Linked DNA regions of Caenorhabditis elegans. The protein of the gene in region 2 interacts with the protein of the main gene of each other region in a pairwise test. Each region holds a gene or a part of one and is shown on either strand. Other genes may lie near its edges.

The links.
Region 1: the proteins of F53E4.1 (region 2) and F42F12.4 interact in a two-hybrid assay, tested with the Caenorhabditis elegans proteins (one large-scale study listed by BioGRID).

Annotation. Positions count from the first base shown.
Region 1 is NC_003284.9:12,351,495-12,355,002, forward strand, and holds F42F12.4 (Acireductone dioxygenase), read right to left. Parts: upstream 1,454-3,508; 5' UTR 1,452-1,453; coding exon 1,335-1,451; intron 1,293-1,334; coding exon 1,173-1,292; intron 1,125-1,172; coding exon 1,032-1,124; intron 834-1,031; coding exon 747-833; intron 690-746; coding exon 570-689; 3' UTR 501-569; downstream 1-500. Other genes in the region: srdf-2.2 (3-oxo-5alpha-steroid 4-dehydrogenase (NADP(+))), read left to right, coding at 32-98.
Region 2 is NC_003283.11:15,665,071-15,670,038, forward strand, and holds the start of F53E4.1 (Kelch domain-containing protein 3), read right to left. Parts: upstream 3,231-4,968; coding exon 3,219-3,230; intron 1-3,218. Other genes in the region: K06B4.4 (Conserved plasma membrane protein), read left to right, coding at 4,100-4,240, 4,286-4,360, 4,676-4,760, 4,815-4,896, 4,946-4,968.

The DNA.
Region 1 (3,508 bases), on a different chromosome or scaffold from region 2:
TGTCCCCGAACATCAATATATAAATTTTCAGTTGGTACAAGGAGAAGTTCCCGAAATACCCACCAACGCGTCGTGCCCTAATTCCGTACATCTATTAATTTACAATTATTTGTTTTGTTGTAATTTTTATAGTTTTACTCACCTCACATTCCGTTGATCGGCATCGGCATCTAATTTCTAATGCTTCAAGTTTACCGTGTGATGAAAAGTTTCTAAAATTGCAAATAATTTTCAAATAACTTTTTTTAAATGACATAAGTTTTTAACAGTATCTAAAACTGAAAGTTGAATAGGAACATCTCTGCTGAAAACAACAAACAAGACATTTACAGATGAGACACAAAACACAGATTTTCAAATGAAGATATTGAATAAGTATATAATTTTTAAGCGACATTGACCAGCTCCATATCAGGGCACAAAAAACCTTTTTTCAATATGGTAACGCGAATCACAACATTAACAGTAGTTTTTGCTTTTCAACTTTACTATTTCGTTGACACAAATGGACTGTTTATTGCATCAAATACAGAAATATGCAAACCACGGAAATTGACTAGACGTTGTAATTAAGCAGAAATATCGTTCAAATATTGCTGGCGAACTCGTTGCTCATCTCCATCAGCTTTGCGGTTGAATGCAGTCCACTTGGGATTATTTCGGAAAAGTCTCAGAGCAACGACGTCTTCCTGAAAATTAATATTTCTTCACTATAGTTCCAATAAAATTAGTATACAAAAACTCACCGAAGGATCGGTAGTGAAGCGATGGTAGATTCCTGCGGGAAGAAAAACAAAGTCTCCTCGACGAACTGGGATGCGGATCCAAGCTTCCTGTTTTTCTTTTTTTTTTTTTGTTTTTCTTTGAAAAAGGAAGTTTTTTTTTAACGATTTGAACATTTGGAATGTTTCTAATAACTTCCGTAATTTTTCAGATATCATCATGAAAATTGGAGATCATAAATTTTTCAACATTTGCCATCGAACTGCATTAACACTTTTTCAAAAACTTTTTTTTTCAATAAAACTCACGTCTTTTGTTCTGACGTCAAAGAACCCAACGCCATGCTTAATTACACGAAGTTCCGCATCATCGTGAAGATGTTCTTCAAAGAAGATGTCAAGCTGAAAATGCAAATGTTTATTTCTGTTATTGACTTTCAAATTGTTTACTTTTTCATCGAAATTCGGCATGGTGGCACGACAAATATGAACTTCGTCGTGAAAATTCATGTCATATTTCTTGATAAGACGATCCAAGTCCTCTTGAACATGTTCGTCATCAAAGTTGACCTGAAAGGAAAATCATTGTTTGAGAAATGCCTCAAATATTACTTTTGTGCATTCGACTCCAATTCGCAAAAGATCTTCTTCGGTAGCTTCTTTGTTCGGCGAAAATCTGCATTCATCTTGGCGATTTTCCTTGGTAACATCAGTCATGAAATACGCCATCTCTGGAAATATTAAAATCAGTAGAGAATTGGCTAAAAAAAAAGAGAAAAAAACGAAGAACAAAGAACGGAGGTGCATTTCATAAATGTAATAAAATCGATAACAGTGCGATGGACAGCAAAGACTGTTTCGATGAACACACCGATAACGGAGACCACTTTTTATAGACATTGTGAACTAGTTAGATACCATTCGGTCATTTGAAAAATACCTGTTTGGTTTGAATTGAATTATGAAGTGACTTTATCACAAATACATTTGATTTAATATAATCGCAGCGATCGGAATTGGATTTTACAAACACTAGTTTGTTTAAAATATTAAAAAACTACAGAATTGCTGACGTTTTCACAATTATTGCTGGGTTGGCAAAAAGTCAGTTCAGGACTATCAGATACTGCACCACTATTATGAAGAAGCTGCTCAACAAATTTTACACATATTTGTGATCGCATTTTAAATGTGGGTGCTATTACCGTTTTTAAAGTTTCCGTAAAAGAGTTTTCATAGAGTCCTTTCGTTTTATATCAACACATTTTGTTTTGCAAACAATTTTTATTGAATGAATGTGTAAACGACTGAGAAACACATACAAATTTAAAGATTATTGTAGAGTTTGTTGCAACCGCTTATCTTGTTTTTTAGCTGGTGTGGTTTTCAAGCAGCATCTGAAGTCTTTATCAGTTGTGCAGGAACCATCATAGACAGCAGCACAGTTATGAACACAGAAATTGTAGCAAGTTTTGTTGGTTTGAGTGGCAAAACTGATCCATGGAGAGCAGAATGCGTAAGATTCATCACCATTGACACCAGCACAGAACTTTGTTTTCAGAATTTAAAAACAGCATTGCAAAAACTTTCATAACCACCGAGTTTAAGCAGAAAAAGTACGTTTTCAGGCCTAATTTTGGAGCACATTTTAAAATAGAATGGAATGGGAAATTAGTAGATTTACCAAGCTTTGAAAATTAATATCTGGCTTCAAACTATCTTTTTGGAAAATCCCTGTAGCCATTTTATTGCAAATTTCGTGTTCTTTCTGAATTTAAAAACAGCATTGCAAAAACTTTCATAACCACCGAGTTTAAGCAGAAAAAAAACGTTTTCAGGCCTTATTTTGGAGCACATTTTAAAATAGAATGGAATGGGAAATTAGTAGATTTACCAAGCTTTGAAAATTAATATCTGGCTTCAAACTAACTTTTTGGAAAATCCCTGTAGCCATTTTATTGCAAATTTCGTGTTCTTTCTGAATTTAAAAACAGCATTGCAAAAACTTTCATAACCACCGAGTTTAAGCAGAAAAAAAACGTTTTCAGGCCTTATTTTGGAGCACATTTTAAAATAGAATGGAATAGGAAATTAGTAGATTTACCAAACTTTGAAAATTAATATCTGGCTACAAACTAATTTTTTTGAAAATCCCTTTTTGAAAATCCCTGTAGCCATTTTATTGCAAATTTCGTGTTCTTTCTGAATTTAAAAACAGCATTGCAAAAACTTTCATAACCACCGAGTTTAAGCAGAAAAAGTACGTTTTCAGGCCTAATATTGGAGCACATTTTAAAATATAATGGTATAGGAAATTAGTAGATTTACCAAACTTTGAAAATTAATATCTGGCTACAAACTAATTTTTTTGAAAATCCCTTTTTGAAAATCCCTGTAGCCATTTTATTGCAAATTTCGTGTTCTTTCTGAATTTAAAAACAGCATTGCAAAATCTTTCATAACCACCGAGTTTAAGCAGAAAAAGTACGTTTTCAGGCCTAATATTGGAGCACATTTTGAAATATAATGGTATAGGAAATTAGTAGATTTACCAAACTTTGAAAATTAATATCTGGCTACAAACTAATTTTTTTGAAAATCCCTTTTTGAAAATCCCTGTAGCCATTTTATTGCAAATTTCGTGTTCTTTCTGAATTTAAAAACAGCATTGCAAAAACTTTCATAACCACCGAGTTTAAGCAGAAAAAGTACGTTTTCAGGCCTAATATTGGAGCACATTTTAAAATAGAATGGAATAGGAAATTAGTAGATTTACCAAACTTTGA
Region 2 (4,968 bases):
TGTGATTTGAGTACACTTTTAGGTGAATTCTAGCGAGACTAACGACTAGAGGTGATAAATTGTGTGTCGATTACTTAAAATTATCAACCGGTTTAGTTACTATTTTTGAAATTAAAAATAGTTTTTTATCGATGGAACGACGAAAGGTCACATATTGATACGGGGCTGAAGAAGGAACATTTGTTTTGCAATGCCTACAAATGTCAAACTTATATTAGAACACTTGTGACACATTGAATAGAACACTTGAAGTCGGATTGAAAACTATGGTCTGTTAACTGAGAAAAGTCGAAAATTTCAATTTTTAAAAACCTGAACTTCTCAGCTTCAACTAGATCGCAACCACTTGAATTTTCAGAGGGATCACTTTAAAGCTCTCAAAAATCGAACCGAAAAAGAACTACACCCAAACATCTGCCATGGGAAGTGTGATTCTCGAACAACAAGAGAGACCTGTCCTCCTCTACAACAGTGTAACATGTCGGCTTTTGCCTCTAAATGAGTAATGGGGTTTCAGAGGAGAAACACCGAGAAAATCAGAGGACACGATACGACGCTGTAAACTGTCCCTTTTCTTTATATATTTGAATGAAACATACACATCATTTCGAGAAGGTCGCCTCGAGAATAATGAAGTGATGAGGAAACGGGGAGAAAACGAGTTCCCTTGTGATCAGTACAGTTACAGCGAGAGTTGTTCTAGTGGGAATTAGACACTTTATTGGCAACTATATTGGGTGAAACCGCCGTTCTTTTAAATGAAACAAGGAGGGAAAGGACAGGTCAAAAAGATTTCAGTTGGATGTCGGCTGGAGGTACAAGGCAGGAGTGGGCGGCAATTGCCGTCCGGCAAATTTTTTGTTGACAAATCGGCAATTTCCCGCTTTGCCGGAAATTTTAAATTACGGCAATTTTCTGGAAATCTCAATTTCGGCAATTTGCCAACTTGCCGGAAAAATCGTTTGCCGCCCACCAACAATGTGATTACCGATTTCCAGAGACTTCCAGAGATTTTCAATCCTAGATCTATTTCGAAGTTGGATCTAAATATTTTAGGTTTAAGAAACTTTGATCTCGAATTTTCGTGATTTCGACAAGTGCCTGAATTACCGATTTTCAAGATAACAACTGCCGGAAAAATGACATCGATGAATTCTGTATATCAAAATGTTTTCAGAATGCCTTAAACATGGAGTAACGACTATTAAATCGATTTAAAATGTGTCCAAATGACATGATTTCATAGAGAAACTGCTCAAAAATGATCAAAATTTCAAAAAATGACCTGGTTTCATTACATGCTTTTTTTTGTTGATTTATGTATATTTTCGGTCGATAGGTAAGCCAAAAAAACCGAAAATGTATTTTAAAAAACGAAAAACACGCAATTAACAACCAAACTGTGCAAAATTGGGTGGTAATTAAATTTTAAAAATTAATTTCCGGTTGGCCAAGAGATTATAGATAAAAATAGCTCTTTTTTTAATTTTGAGCAGTTTCTCCGAGAAATTCAGTCATTTGGTCACTTTTTGCGCCAAATGAAACAAAATCGTTATTTTTTAATTCTTAAAGTACTTTTTTTAAAGAATTTTTATGTCATAAAACTATAGACAACGTCAAGAAATCAAACATTGAACTAACTTTAGTGTTTTAGCGAATATATCGTAAAAATAGCCCGAAAGAAAAAACGGAAAATATTTTCGCTGGATCCAAGAATATATAATTTGATGATTACAAATTATTATTTTCAAACACTTTTTTTTGGTAAACATACAAAAAATGTGGCTTTTCTGCCCTAATCAGTAAGAAAACGAGCAGCACGTGGTTGTCTTGATAACGTCTATCAGATGGTCGGTCGACTGAAATTGAAAGTTCCCGCCGGACGGTACAAAGTTTTAAATAGACTCGTTTTTCAAATAACTGATAAGGCAAAAGCTCGTATTTGTGTCAATTGCACGGAATTACGAAACAAGATTCATTTTTATCGAAATTTAGGCATTTTAGTGCCTATTTTCACTTTTTCGGCGGGATTTGTCCCAAAAATTGTTATAATTTACAAAAATTAATAAAAGTAAATATTATAACAGAAGAAAAATCAAGAAAATTCGAAAGCAATGGGCACACAATACGCAACTTGTATTGTCTACCGTAACTAAAGGATTTCAATGGATTAAAATCGCGAAAAATATACAAAATTAAAAAAAAAGATGAATATCAATAAAGATAGTTAATCCCATGATATCTACTGCTTTTACTCTGAAAAGTAAGAAAACCCGAGCGAAAGAAAAAGTGAAAAGGCGATTGAATTGTGAAAGTAGAAGTTGACGCCGATATACCACTTTTCTCCCATTTCCCTTCAATTCGCATCCCATTTTATTGCTGTAAACGTTTTATCGTGTCTGAATATCTGAAAATGAAAACACCAATGTCTGAAAGTGAGAAACGAAGAATCGGGATTCCATTGGTGACCGAGTTTTTCTTTTTTTCGCGGCCATATGATAAAATATGGCTGAAACTTCTTTTTTCTATTTCCCAGACCCACAGCCTCCTCACGTGGAAATGACCCAACAAGGGGGCTTGCGCGTTTCTCTTGAGCGTTGGAAAATTTTACCACTGAAAAATGATTTCCTTCGGTTTTTGTGGGTTTAAAATCGATTTCATACTTTGAAATTAGGTATCAATTGTAAAGCTAATTGGGGGAAAGGAGGAGAAAAAAAGATTTTTGATTTTGGTTCAAAAATAAAAGCGCTGATATAAAAAGTAAAAACAACTACTCAGGCAACTCAAATCTAATATGAAAATATTAAATAGCAATATTTTTGTAGTAAAAACGAGAAATAGTGCGTCCATATACGATTACTAAAAATTTCGAATAGATTTCAATTTTGTCTCAAAAGATTACAATTTCATCTCAAAATATTGCGAAAGTGTGAAAATTTCTAGGAAGACTTCCGTTTTATCTCAAAATATTACTAATTTGTCTCAAAAGACTGCGAACTAGTCTCCGAAGATTGAGATTTCATCTCCGAAGATTGAGATTTCGTCTCAGAATATTGCGATTTTGTCTCAAAATATTGCGAATTTGTCTCTAAATATTAAAAATGCATTCATCGACTATTCTAGAACTGTTTTGTGATAACTCGAAGAACTTTTGTTGCCATTGAGGGGAGTTGAACTTGTCCGTCGCTTGTCGTTGAGTCTATGAACCATTATCTTACCTGTTGAGCCATCCTGTACGTGTCGCATCTAGTTTTAGTTATTGCTTAAGTAAATAGTTGATGGGCGCACGTCCTTTTCGTTACTTTTCCTCAAAAGTAATGCCAAGTTTGAATAGAAAATTTTCGATGCCATCCACAATTCGCGACATTTTGCGACCGTGACCGAACGAAGGAATGACGAAAATTGATTACACGGCAGTTTTTATTTAGAAAAAAAACTAAATAAAAAAATGAATGTTCACGGGATTCAATAAATAAATTTTTTGAACATTTTTTGTTACCCAGACGCGAAATTTACGGGTTTTAGACAAATTTCTCAATTTTCAAGAGTTGAAATATAGTTTTCTAAAGGGAAAATTAACTTTTTTCTCAAATATTTTTTGGTAGTTTTGTTGCAAATGTTTAGTTCTTTTTGAAAAATCTCAGTACACCTTTGATCAGCCTTTGAGTTATTATGGTAATTAACATTTATAAGCAAAATTTATAATTTTTCAAAACATCAAGTTTATTCACTAATAAATAAATGATGGCATCGAAAATTTTCTATTCAAACTTGGCATTACTTTTGAGGTGAGCTATAGGTTCCAGGGTTTCACGCTTGCAAAAATGGAAGAGTGGCTGTGTGTGAATCTCGGCCGCGGACAGAAAAATGGAGTTATGCAAACGCGCTCCGCTGCACAAAGCGATTCTCGCTGTCAAAGTCGACGAGCTTTCAAAATTGTCCACAATCATCAGAGCTTTTGTGAAAAATAACTGAGCTCTCACCAAAATGAGGAAAATAGGCGGTAGGCAGGCATGTAGGCATTGCTCTCCAAAATCAAAATGTTGCGGGCGAAGCCCGTAAATTGTTCACAGTCTGAAATTTTCAGAATCAATATTCAATGATCAGTGTCGGCTACATGTGCCTGTATCTCTGGAAGACGATGCTTTTTCTGATTGATGCATTCTGCGCAATCTTCGGAGATCGCAAAGTCGAGCGTTTCGACAATTTCGGCTTATTCCTTTCGTTCAACCTTTTTGCGGTGAGAAGAGATTTAAAAAATTCAATTAAAAAAACATTTATACAGATCATCTATGGTGTATTCTTCGTAACGATCGAGCCTGAGAGCAAGCGATGGTTCTGTTACTGCGGAATTTTGGGGGTAATTCACGAGGTGTCACACTCTGGTGTAATCTGCAAAAAATGCAAAATTTTAAAATCACACTTCTCAACTGATTTTGTATGGTTAGGATCATGCTGACGTCACATATTTCTATTCGAAAAATTCCCGCATTTTTTGTAGATCACACCGAAATTGGACATTCTGACACCACGGGGTAATTGAAAATTAGTTGAGTAATGGAAAAATAAATGATCTTGTTTGGAACAAATTCAGAAGTTTTCTGATTTCTCAATACTTCCCGAGTAGTTTTTTCACAAAAACCTTGAAAATTCGTAGGGTTAACGCAAATTTCAGGCGATTCATCTAGTCACATCCACCATCTTCTATTTCTACATTTATATTCGTTTGAACGTCGAGGACAATCAACAGCTTTTGTATTGTTAGTATTTTAGAATTTTACTTGTAGAATCAATTTCAAAATTAAAACTTTCAGGGACAAGCCGCCTGGCTCCAATTTCAATGTTATTTATGACCGGGTTGCTGATGATTTCTGTGCTGATTATGTGCAAGATGAGGTTATTTTTTGGTCTATGGGATACAAACCCTGAATTTGTTTTATTTCAGTTTTTTCCAATCGTCCAAGAGGT